Linked DNA regions of Canis lupus familiaris. The protein of the gene in region 1 purifies or fractionates together with the protein of each later gene. This does not show direct contact. Links are inferred from orthologs where the notes say so. Each region holds a gene or a part of one and is shown on either strand. Other genes may lie near its edges.

Evidence for each region. Proteins that work in one complex are often made in the same cells at the same time.
Region 2: the proteins of ARPC1A (region 1) and ACTR3 purify together in Homo sapiens (affinity purification with mass spectrometry; 7 studies listed by BioGRID and IntAct, counting the BioPlex papers as one, with this or other methods). This does not show direct contact. The link is inferred for Canis lupus familiaris from reciprocal best matches to the Homo sapiens genes ARPC1A and ACTR3.
Region 3: the proteins of ARPC1A (region 1) and ARPC4 fractionate together in Homo sapiens (co-fractionation; 7 studies listed by BioGRID and IntAct, with this or other methods). This does not show direct contact. The link is inferred for Canis lupus familiaris from reciprocal best matches to the Homo sapiens genes ARPC1A and ARPC4.

The regions. Positions count from the first base shown.
Region 1 is NC_049227.1:10,303,564-10,307,063, forward strand, and holds part of ARPC1A (actin-related protein 2/3 complex subunit 1A), read right to left. Parts: intron 1,782-3,500; coding exon 1,674-1,781; intron 1-1,673. UniProt on the Homo sapiens protein: Probably functions as a component of the Arp2/3 complex which is involved in regulation of actin polymerization and together with an activating nucleation-promoting factor (NPF) mediates the formation of branched actin networks.
Region 2 is NC_049240.1:36,616,670-36,620,605, reverse strand, and holds the start of ACTR3 (actin-related protein 3), read left to right. Parts: upstream 1-1,136; 5' UTR 1,137-1,461; coding exon 1,462-1,505; intron 1,506-3,936. UniProt on the Homo sapiens protein: ATP-binding component of the Arp2/3 complex, a multiprotein complex that mediates actin polymerization upon stimulation by nucleation-promoting factor (NPF).
Region 3 is NC_049241.1:8,520,228-8,524,384, reverse strand, and holds the start of ARPC4 (actin-related protein 2/3 complex subunit 4), read left to right. Parts: upstream 1-1,357; 5' UTR 1,358-1,512; coding exon 1,513-1,515; intron 1,516-4,157. UniProt on the Homo sapiens protein: Actin-binding component of the Arp2/3 complex, a multiprotein complex that mediates actin polymerization upon stimulation by nucleation-promoting factor (NPF).

The sequences.
Region 1 (3,500 bases):
CAGGTGTACGACATAGTGACCCAACTTCTCTATACCCTATGCCATGCTTCCTGCAAGTATAGCTACCATATGTCACTGTACAACACCCTTGACCATGTTCCCGGTCCTCCTTGTGACTACTCCATAACTGGAAGCCTCTACCTCCCACTCCTCTTTACCTGTTTTGCCCATCCCCTCACCTTCCTTCTCTGGCAACCATCAGTTTATCCTCTCTATTTATGAGTATGAGAATCACTGGGGTTTAAATCAGCATCACAAAAGCCACGGCTCTAGTCATCAGAGGCTGGGTGGTTCTCAGTCAAAAACCGAACTCTTACCCAAAGGACCACAAATCAAAGTTTATTTCTGGAAATTAATATTATCAAAAGAATTGGCAACCCATTTTCAGAACCAGATTTTTTAGACACAGTCCAATAATCTAAGTGTATGGATCATTCAATTCCAACTTTTAAGGGAGCTAGAATGACTGGGTAACACATCATAGACAACAAAACTCCTGAATTCTACCAGATGATGCTGTTACACTGGTTCTTACATAGAAAAACCAATCTTTTTCCAGATGTATCCCCATTCCACAGCCAAATTTCCACACACATTGTTTTTTTTTTTTTAAGATTTGATTTATTTATTCATGAGAGACAGAGAGAGAGGCAGAGACAGAGGCAGAGGGCAAAGCAGGCTCCATGTAGGGAGCCTAATGTGGGACTCGATCCTGAGACTCTAGGATCATACTCTGGGCCAAAGGCAGGCGCTAAACTGCTGAGCCACCCAGGGATCCCCTCCACACACATCTTTAAAACAAACAAACAAACAAACCACCAAATCCTTGGATATTGTTGGATATAATAAATCACAAGCCATGTTTTCTGGAAATTCTCCACATAGCCTACTAAAGAAAGATACATCCCATTTCCCAACCCACCGTGTTGTCAATGTGAAGTAACATTTATTTGCTTTTCTTTTGGCTAAGGGGAAAAAAAGCCTTCTTGGCAAAAAATAGCTTTAAAAAGCAATTACACTGTATGAGCCTTACAGCTCTTAGCAAAGTGGCTGTGTTTCTTCTAGCTTCACGCTAACAACAAATAAAAAACTTGAACTGAAAAGGAACAGCAGGGCAGCCCAGGTGGCTCAGCGGTTTAGCGCTGACTTCAGCCCAGGTTGTGATTCTGGAGACCTGGGATCAAGTCCCATGTTGGGCTCCCTGCATGGAGCCTGTTTCTCCCTCTGCCTCTCTCTCTCTCTCTCTCATGAATAAATAAATAAAATCTTAAAAAAAAAAAAAGAACAGCAAATAGTTCAGCACAGCATTGTTCAGCTATGTTTTGTTCATCTTAGCTTCAGCCAGGAATTTGCCAAATCTCTGCCTGGGTTATGAAATGAGAAATAATATCATAGTCTGAGGGCTTCTATACCTCTGCTCCAAGCAGGATATTCTGCGTAAAGAAAATTTCCCCGGCCCCACCCTCACAGCTCCCTCCTACTATACCTCCCAGTCCACTTCCTTCCTTCTCTGTGATATCTGTGTTTGCTTTCTTAGATCCCAAGCTCCTTTCACTTCTGAGTCCCTAACAGTGCCTAACACAGTACCTTGCAAGGAAAAGGAACCTGAAAAATACTTGAAAGATGAACAAGGAACAGATCAATTCTGTTTGCCAATTCTCATCTGCTCCCACCTGCATTTGAAATCACACGATCCTGCTGCCAGCAAAACATTGTTGGGATGCCAATCCAAGCTGAGGACCGTGGAGCGAATCGGCTTTTTAATGTGCTTGCTTACCCACCTACAAAAGAAGAACATCCATTTCAGTTTATCCACACCTCAAGCCTACCAAAGGGCCTAACAAAGGTGTGCTAGGTGATACACATGTGGCAACCAGGTCTTCTCCAGAGAGGAAGGCATAGAGGAAGAGGAGCCATAAATAGTCCTTTCTGTTCTTTTAGGCTTTGACATTCTTATCACAGCAGTCCATTCTGAACTTTCCTGGCAACCAGGGGATCCCCAGGAGTAACTATATTTATGGATTAACTCTGGATACTGCCTGTGGAGTTTCAGATTACATGTTACTTTAACTTTTAAAATACAATACGTGGTTTGAAATGACTTAGATTTTTTTTTTGGAACGCTGAAAAGCCTTTATTTATTTATTTATTTATTTTTTAAATTTTTTTAAATTTATTTTTTATTGGTGTTCAATTTACTAACATACAGAATAACCCCCAGTGCCCGTCACCCATTCACTCCCACCCCCCACCCTCCTTCCCTTCTACCACCCCTAGTTCGTTTCCCAGAGTTAGCAGTCTTTACGTTCTGTCTCCCTTTCTGATATTTCCCACACATTTCTTCTCCCTTCCCTTATATTCCCTTTCACTATTATTTATATTCCCCAAATGAATGAGAACATATAATGTTTGTCCTTCTCCGACTGACTTACTTCACTCAGCAGATTTTTTTTTTAATAAAGATGCAGCGACCTGTGATTTCACTTTGGGTTAAGTCTGGCTTGTAAAATAGCTCAATTTCCTTACTACGTCTCTGTGAAGCTGTGAATTACTATTTTCACAGAGAAATCACAACCGAGAAAATCACAACCTCTTATGGGAGGTTCTAACTGATACTCTAGCTCCACTTGAAAGTTTTTTTTCTGGGGATCCCTGGGTGGCTCAGTGGCTTAGTGCCTGCCTTTGGCCCAGAACATGATCCTGGAGTTCCGGGATGGAATCCCACATCGGGGTCCCTGCATTCAGCCTGCTTCTCCCTCTGCTTTCCCTCTTCCCTGTGTCTCTCATGAATAAATAAGTAAAATCTTAAAAAAAAAAAAAAAAGTTTTTTTTTTCTGTCTGAGATCAGTCCTTACTCTGGCTTCACTAATTCAGTTTCTACCCCTAAATTGCTGTTTAAAAATCAATCATGTTCTGCTGTTTAGGAGCTGAGAGACTGGGGCAACTGGGTGTTCAGCTGGTTAAGCATCTGCCTTTGGCTCGAGTTGTGATCCCAGGGTCCTAGGATCGAGCCCCACATTGGTTCCCTGCTCAATAGGAAGTCTGCTTCTCCCTTTCCTTCTGCCCCCCTTCTTGTGCTCTCAAAAACAAAACAAAACAAAACAAAACAACCCCCCCAAAACAAAAAACAAACAAAAAAACAAACCTTAAAAAAAAAAAAAAAGCCAAGGAGCTGTAATATCAAGCCAAATACCCATCCTTAAATGTCAAATTACTTTTTCACAAACTTTCTCTTAGGAACCTAAAAAATTTCCTTTTGAAAAATAGATAATATTCTGACTTGCTTATAACGTAGTTACTTTAAAGGTTTTTATTTATTTTTTTTTTTAGATTTTATTTATTTGACAGAGAGTACACAAGCGGGGGGTGGGGAGCAGCAGAGGGAAAAGGAGGCTTTGCATGGAGCTGGGAGTCCTATATGGGGGTTGATTCCAGGACCCCCAGCATCATAACCTGAGCCAAAAGCAGATAGATCCTTTTTTTTTTTTTAATAGGAGCAG
Region 2 (3,936 bases), on another chromosome or scaffold:
GGCAGCAGGATCCCTGCCATAATGGAGGATGTGAGCGATACTTAACATGTCAAACGGATGAAAAACCCACTTTCCATCCCACTGCCCAGTCTAACAACTTACCATTGTGCATAAGACATCCTTTCTTAGGGAAAATATTTTTATTTCAGCCATATAAGCAAATGGAAGATTTATCAGAAGACAAGCCTGGTGGAAAGCTGTTAAACTTCTAGGTTCCCCAGGTGGGGTCCCAGACCATCACCTGAGAACGTCTTGGAAATGCAAGTTACCAGGCCCTTCTCCTACACAAAAACTCTGCGGATGCGGCCCAGCAATCAAGGTTTTTTTTTGTGTGTTTTGTTTTTAGCAATCAAGGTTTTAACGAGCATTCTCGGTAATTCTGATGCACACTTAAATTTGAAAACCATTGTTCTAGGCTGTCCAGTATGTGACCTTTTTCCCCCTTATTATTATCATTATTTTCGCTCCTTGATCATCGGCATAATCCTGCCGGCAAAACAGCAGAATCTTAAACTGCTGAGGGCATCTTTGTCATCATTCGAAAGCGGCGAATAACCGACTATCCGCGCAGAGTGCGTGATGTGGAAGGTGCTCCCGGGGGGGGTGTGTTCCTCGCGGGGACAGGCCTGCCCCCGGGCGTCTGCGACCCAGACAATGTCCCCACGCACAGGTGCAAAAGCCTAGAAACCGGCAGGAAGGCGGAGCAGCCGGCTGCAAGCCTTTGTTCGCCCCAACCCTCCCGACCGCTCGCCCTCCGTCTGCCCGCGCGCTCCTCCACCCAGAAAAGCAGCGTCTCCAAGCGACGAGAATGTGTCGTGCCGCTCAGGACGTTTTCTACTGGGCCAGTCTTCCCCGGGGCCCCGGAGAAGACGCGGGGGGCTGCGGGGGGCTGCGGGGGCAGGCGCCGGGCGGCGAGCGCAGGAGGCACGGACGCCGCGGCGCTCCCGCAGCTCCAGGAGCCCCGGGCGCTCGCCCCGCCCCGCCCCGCCCCTCCCGTCCGGGAAAGCCCGGAGCGGACTCCGCTCACGTCGGGACGGGCGCCGCGGCCGGCGGGGCCACGTCACTGCGCATGCTCCCTCGCCCCTCCCGCTCGGAGCCGGAAGGGGGAGCGCGGGCGGCCTGGGCCTGGCCTGGCCGGGGCGGCGGCGCCGGCGGCCATCTTGGCTTCCCGGGGCCAGGCGGCGCGGGGGGAAGAAGTTGTAGGGTGGGGGCCGGAGGGAGGAGGAGGGGAGAGAGAGGGGGAGGAGGCCGCGGCGGGGCAGGGCGGGGACTGCCTGCCCGCCCGGGTTGCGGAAGTGGTAGCCGCTGGCCGAGCCTGCTGCTTGCTCGCTGCTGCCTCGGCTTCCCGGCTCCCCCCGGACGGAGAGGCCGGCCCGGCTGTGGATGGTCAGATAGCTCCGGCCCCAATCCGCACGGAGCAGACGGCGGCGGCGGCGGCGGCGGCGGCAGGCGAGGAGGAAGATGGCGGGACGGCTGCCGGCCTGTGTGGTGGACTGTGGCACGGGGTAAGGAGGGTGGGGAAACTGAGGCGGAGCTGGGAAGATGGCGGCGAGGGTGCGGGCGCGGGGATGCGCCGCGGCGGGGTGCGGCCGCCGGGCGTCGGGCTGCCGGGGGTGGGGCGCGGGGCCGGGGCCGCGGTGCGGCCGGGCGTCACCCGCGGGGGCGGGGGCGGGGGCGGGGGTCCCGGCGGGGTCCCCCCGGAGGTGCCCCCGGAGCCGCGGGCGGGTGGGCGCTGCGGGGCCCGGCGCTCAGCCTCCGGCCCCTCGGCTCCTCCTGCTGCCGGCGCGCCGGGGCCGAGCGGACGGGCGGGGGACGCCGGGCGGGTGCTCCGGGTCGCGGGGACCCCGCGCGGCTCGGGCCGAGGGCGGGGAAGGGGGCGCCCGGGCGCCGAACCTGCGAGCCGGGGCCGCGGCTTCCACCGGGCGGGCCGCGCGCCCCTCGTCCGACCCCCGGGCTTCCCCGCCTCCTGCGCTCGCACCGGTGAGCCACGGGCACATTTTAATTTGAGAGAGAAGGATGTCATGTGTTAACTCGTCTTGCCTCGGACAGAAAAAAAAAAAAAAAAAAAAAAGGAAAAAAAAAAAAAGTCCCCTAGTGAGCAAGCGCGCCGCAACTTCCTTAGTTTTCTCAAAGCCGCTTCCTGCTTTCAGCCCTTTATACCCTTATAAGGTAGTTTTTCATTTCCAACCTGAACACCTCGTATTAGAACTTTTAGGATTGAGCATATTTGAAATGGATTGAATTACGGGCCCTCGACATCAGTTTGTAGGGACTTGAACACAGACGTGCGAGTGTTTTCCGGGAAGGGGGGGAGAAGGGAAGCCCCAGGAAAGTCCTTGAGGCCGCGCGCTCGCCGGGGGGGGGTGGGGGGGGTGGGGGGGCCTCGGAGGCTGTGGGGCCGCGGGGTGCGCTTGCTTTTCGGGGGGTTCCAGTGCGCAGGGTCGCGTGTAGACGTGTAGAACGGCGTTGAAGTGTATGAATAGGCGTTTTGGGATTTTGGCACACTGTTGTTTTCATAGGAAATAGTCTGTACTTTAACGTGGAACGACTTGTTTCCCTTGCAGCGCTGGGAGGGTGTGTGTGTCCGTCCTGTGCTGATACATTGTTTCATTCCTAATTCGCAAAATAATACACCGAGGGGGAGTCGGTTATGAGAGGTAGAGTGTCAGCCCTTGCTCCCTGCCTTCTATCATCCAGCAGACCTTCGTTGCATCAAGGATTGTGTATGCCCCTCTTTCCATTTACTCCCCGTAAAACGGCTCTATTTTTTTTTTTAAAGCTCTAATCTTCATACTCACGACTTTGTTAGTGTAACAGTTTCAAAAATCCCAGCCATGCATGTGGAAACAGCCGATTTATTAACATTCTCCTATTCTCCTTTGGAAAATACCAGCCTACTTTTAGCCGTGGAACTTCTAAATGTATTGTTTTGATGGACAGCTTATTAAAGTTATTGTTTTTTTATTTTTATTTTTTGTATATATATATTTTTTTTATTGTTTTTTTTAATCCTAATTTTCTTGACTCAGGTCCCCCCCCCCCCCCCCCCCCCCCCCCCCCGATCCAGTTGAGGAGTAGTTTCATGCTTAGGGTCAGTTTTAAAATTAGATTTGTCCTGAGTGAGAAGGAATTTTCAAGTGTGGGGTGTTTTGTTTTGTTTTTTTAGATTTTATTTATTTATTCATAAGAGATACACAGAGAGGCAGAGACACAGGCAGAGGGAGAAGCATGCTCCATGCAGGGAGCCCGACGTGGGACTCTATCTGGGACCCCAGGATCACGCCCTGCGCTGAAGGCAGGCGCTCAACCACTGAGCCACCCAGGTGTCCCTCAAGTGTGTTTTGTTAAAGTGAGAAATACTGTTATATAATTAATATTTTATGCTTTAGAAATTATTGGGTTAATAAAATTAGTGTGGATAATTGTAGTGCTAATGGTAACTAGAATGTTACTTTTCCCCCATTTTTCCCCTTTTGAAATAAATTCTGGTTATTTTTGAGTTAGTATTCGGGTATTAATCATTGAGGTTGACTGTCCTTAGCTGACCTCCTCCTGCTAGGGCAACCCTGAATTTAAGACAGGCTGAGTGTCCGGGAGGTCCCCAAGGGCTTCAGTCTACATTTAGGATTATTTTTGTTTTAGTATTTCAATTATTACGTTACTATATTTTACCTTATTGCATTAGTTTTACTTCACAAGGTGAGGTGGTTTAATGGGCACTCATGGTTTAAATGGAACTGATTAGGAGTCCCCATTGTCTCCCACCTTTTTTACCATCTGTCAGAGCTCCATTTATTTTGGTCTTCTAAAGGTTTCATGGTCCTTTGTGGTGGCTATCTAATGCAACTCCTGGAAAGTTATACCTGCAGCTTTATTAGCACATAGAGGATGGCTCATTGAGCTTGGGCCTGCGATAAGCATATTTAAGTAAGGCCT
Region 3 (4,157 bases), on another chromosome or scaffold:
TCCATCCAGGGACAGACTCCAGGAGAAAGCCAGGCTTCGGTACCTAACTACAAGATTGATGGCGCGGCTCCTACTCACAGGACACTCGCTGTACATCAAGCCAGGTACAGACACTTTACTGGCTTCTCACTGAATTCCTCACCCAACCCCATGAGCAGGGACAATGGCGACCTACACCTTACAGATACGAAAACTCAGACTCTGTAAGGGTGGGTACCTGCCCACGGTTACCAAGAGGCAATCTGAATCCAGATAGTTTTGAGTCTTTGCCCTGTCTTTCTGATGCTCTTCTGTCCTACTGCTCCCGGGTCTGGCTAAGCCTCTAAGCTCCAAACATCCCATTCTTACAATGCTAATGTTCTCTGTGCCTCCTCGCTTCTTCTCTCACCCCCTCCCGTCGTGGTCCCTTTTCTTGGCCGCTGACAGTGGTTAAGAATATGGGCTGGTAAGCCAGGCAGGCACAGCCTTTACCATTCTCTAGTTATGTAGCTCCAAACGTGTTATTTAGCCTTCCTGAGTCTCGGTTTTTCCATCTACAAAATGGGGACCAAAGAAATCTGGGTCTGTCTCCCCATAAGAAGTCTGAATCTGTAAAATGGGGATCACGATAGTACCTACCTCCCCGGGATGCTCTGAGGATTATGAAAGGATGCTTGTCAAGAGCCCAGTTCAGTGCCTGGCACAGAAGTGCGCCTGTTTAGTGGCTGGCCCCTCCTGCGGGTCGCCCCAGTGACTTGCCTTCGGGGCCCCCGTCCTCTGGGGACCCCCTAACGCGGCCCCCGCCCCCTCTACCTCCTCACTGCAGCCTCCTGCTGCCTCCTACGGCCCCCAGGCCACGGGAGGGGGCGGGGAGTTCCGGTTGGTGGAGCAACCGCCCCGGAACTGGCCAGGGGCGGGCCCCCCGCAGAGGACGCGGGGGTGGGCGACGCGGGCGGGAGCCCACTGCGGCGTGCGGGGAAGGGTGGGCAGGCCGCGGGCGAGCCTACTGCAGGTGGGGGAGGGCTCGGCCTCAGGCCCACTCTGGGGATCGGCCCGAGGCTGGGGGCGGGGCCCGGCAGCCAAGCCCTCCGCCCGGCAGCTCTTCCCGCGGAGCCCCGGGGGCTGCAGGTAGGAGGGGCCCAGAGCGAGGCTAGGGGCGCAGAACCGGAAGGAACGGAGGGCTCCTCCGCCTCGCCTTGTCCTAATATGGTGCCCAACCTGAGGCCGGGCCGCACCACTGCCCGACTACGGGGCACGACGAGAGGAGGGCCAGGGCCGCAAGCCAGAGCTGCGTGGATAACGGCATGAGCTCCCGCATCGATTCGAAAGTTCCGCAGTCTAAAGATGTGAAGACAGTCCTAGCGGGGAGACCTGCCAAGGACCGGGGGCTCCCAGGCTCCCCCTCCCCGCTCGGGCATAGTGGTCCCGTCCGGAAGTCCGGGCGCAGACCGAGGCTGCGCCCCTCGCGGAAGGGCAGGCGTCGCGGGCTGGCCACTTCCGCACTTCCGCTTTCCGGCCCAGCCAGCGCCCGCGATGGTGAGCGAGCCGGGCCCCGCGCCAGGGACCCCCGCTGTTTTGCCTCAAACGCTGTGGGTCTGGGGGCGAGGCGGCTTTGCAGCGGAGAGCCCCGGGGCCGAGGGCTGCTGCGGGGTGTGGGGGCATGATGAGGCTGGGAGGAGAGGGCGGGGCGGGAGCCCAAGTGAGGAAGGGGCGAGCGGGGGGCGCCCCGGGAGGACGCAGGCCTCGCAGGTTCGTGGTTTGTCTTTCGGGCCAGGTGGGGAACTGTGAGGCGTCGACAGGACGCCGGGAGTGGGGCCTGGGAGGTCGGCGGGAGAGCCTTGAAGGCACTCAGTAGGCTTCCTCGCCCGTAGTAGGGCCGGCGTAGCAAGGGCGCCTCACCCAGGGTAGAGCTTTGCTAAATACACTGTCCTGTCCTCTCCTGCCCGCTTGACCCCACAGTTTTCCAAAGGAAGCGTCTCCACTTCCTTATCCCACTCTTCGCTTACTTCCCTGCCTTGCTTCTGCTCCACGGAAGGATTATGCCGCCGCCACCCAGACCTCTTCCTGGTTAGAATTCCACCGTGTTAACCTTAACCATAGTACGAGAGCTCTGTCCTACGGATCCCTCCCTTCCTGGAAATCCTCGCAGCTGATACATGTCGGTCTTCCTGGGAGTCGAGGCTTTGGTTCCCCACCTTCCTCCTCACATTTTCCCTAGTGGTGCCTGTCCATTCCCGGCTTCCATGACCTTGTGTATTCTGGTGGTTCATGAGTCTGCCTTCCTAGCTCTCTTGTAGGGTTTGCCTGGATATCTTGAAGACACCTTCAGATCACACCTTCAGATCGAAAATCATTTTCTCTCAACCAGCTTTCCCCATGTTGCTTATCCTGGCTTTGTGGCATCTTACCTCAGCTAGCAGTCTGGATTTTATTTTATTTTATTATTTTATTTTTTCTTTCTTTCTTTCTCTTTCTTTCTTTCTTTCTTTCTCTAATGGAGGCCATACCTCTTGGATTTTTTTTTTTTTTAAGTCAACTGTATTGAGGTATTACATGAGAATGCATTTATTTTTTCAAAGGGCAGGTGTCATGGGGCTTGCCACCTAAAAGTCACCCTTTTTAAGTTTATCATCTGTGAGTTTTGACAAACACAATCCTGTAACCACTACTACAGTCAGATTAACCATGTTTTCTCAAAAAGCTCCCTTTAGTCCCTCTGTTAATCAGTTGTCTCTCCTCCATTCCAGGCAACTACTGATTTCTTTTTTCCTTCTATAGTTTTGCCTTTTCTATATTGTCATATAAATAGAAGTCTTCAGTATGTAGACCTTTTGATGTGGCTTTTTTTTTTTAAGTTTATTTTTTTAATAATTTCTGCACTCATCAGGTGGGGGGGGACTTGAACCAACGACCCTGAGATTGAGAGTTACAGACTCATTAGACTGAACCAACCAATGTGGCTTCTTAATTAACCATAATGCATTTGAGATTCATCCATGTTGCATGTGTCACTACTCCTTTTTCTTGCTGAATAGGACTTCATCATATGAGTGAGCTACAGTTTATTGAAAGGTGTTTTTTATTCCATTATCCTCTACATTTATGACAGTCCAGCTCTTGTGATACCCTTTGCTTGTCCTCACCACTGCTCCAGGCTCTCCTCACCCTTCCTTGAATAATCCTCTCTGCCTTTTGTCTCATTTCCCTCCGGTCCATTTTCTGCAGAACCACCATGCAACTGGTGAAGCCAGATAACTTCCTCCTCAGAAAGCCCCAACAATTCCTTACTACCTTAAAAGAAAAGCTAAAGTCAGCAGCCTGGCATTTGAGATTACCCATGAATCTCTAGGCTACCATTGCAGCAGCATCTACTCAATCTAAAATGCTTTCTGTATGCAGCAACACTGCTCATCACTACTTCTGGAACTCCTAACATTTTTTTTTTTTTGCAGTATTCTAACCTTGCTTACGGTATTCCACATGATATTGTATAGAAAAGGAGTAAGACATTGCATATGTTAGATACTGAGCTAGGTGCAGGGTATGTTGATTTGAATAAAGAGACATGGTCTGTTAAGCATGAATCTTACAGTCTAGTGAAAAAGAAATCACTGTACTGAAATACGAAGGATGTATTGTTGTAAATTGTAATAAATGCTATGAAGGAGGAAGTCAAGAAAGGCCTCTCTGAGGAAGGAAGGGGCCTTCCCTGAATACACCAAGGTCTAAGGGATGACTTAAGTCAAGAAAGGAAAGAAAGTCCTGTATAGATGAATCAGCATGTGTAAAGCCTTCAGATGAGAAAGAATGTAGATAATACAAGGAACTGAAGATAAGCCAGTGTAGGTAGAAGCTGGTCTGTCTACTGGGAATATCCTTAGTCTACTTTTTCTTATTGTAAAATCCTCCTAATCTTATTTTCATCTTTATTTCCAAACCAATTTCTTCTGGAAATGTAATTTGTAAGTTTGATTATGTCCCGTTTCATTCTCCTTTATATCATATGGTTTTTTTGTTCTCTACCCAGTTGAGCTATTTAGGGGTAGAGATGATCTTTAAAATCTTGACATTTAAATCAGTCCCTTGACATTTAAGTCAGCACACAGACTTATACATTATTGGCTCAAATACAGATTGAGGATAGTCATTCACCTGTATGCCTCTAGACCAGAATTTCT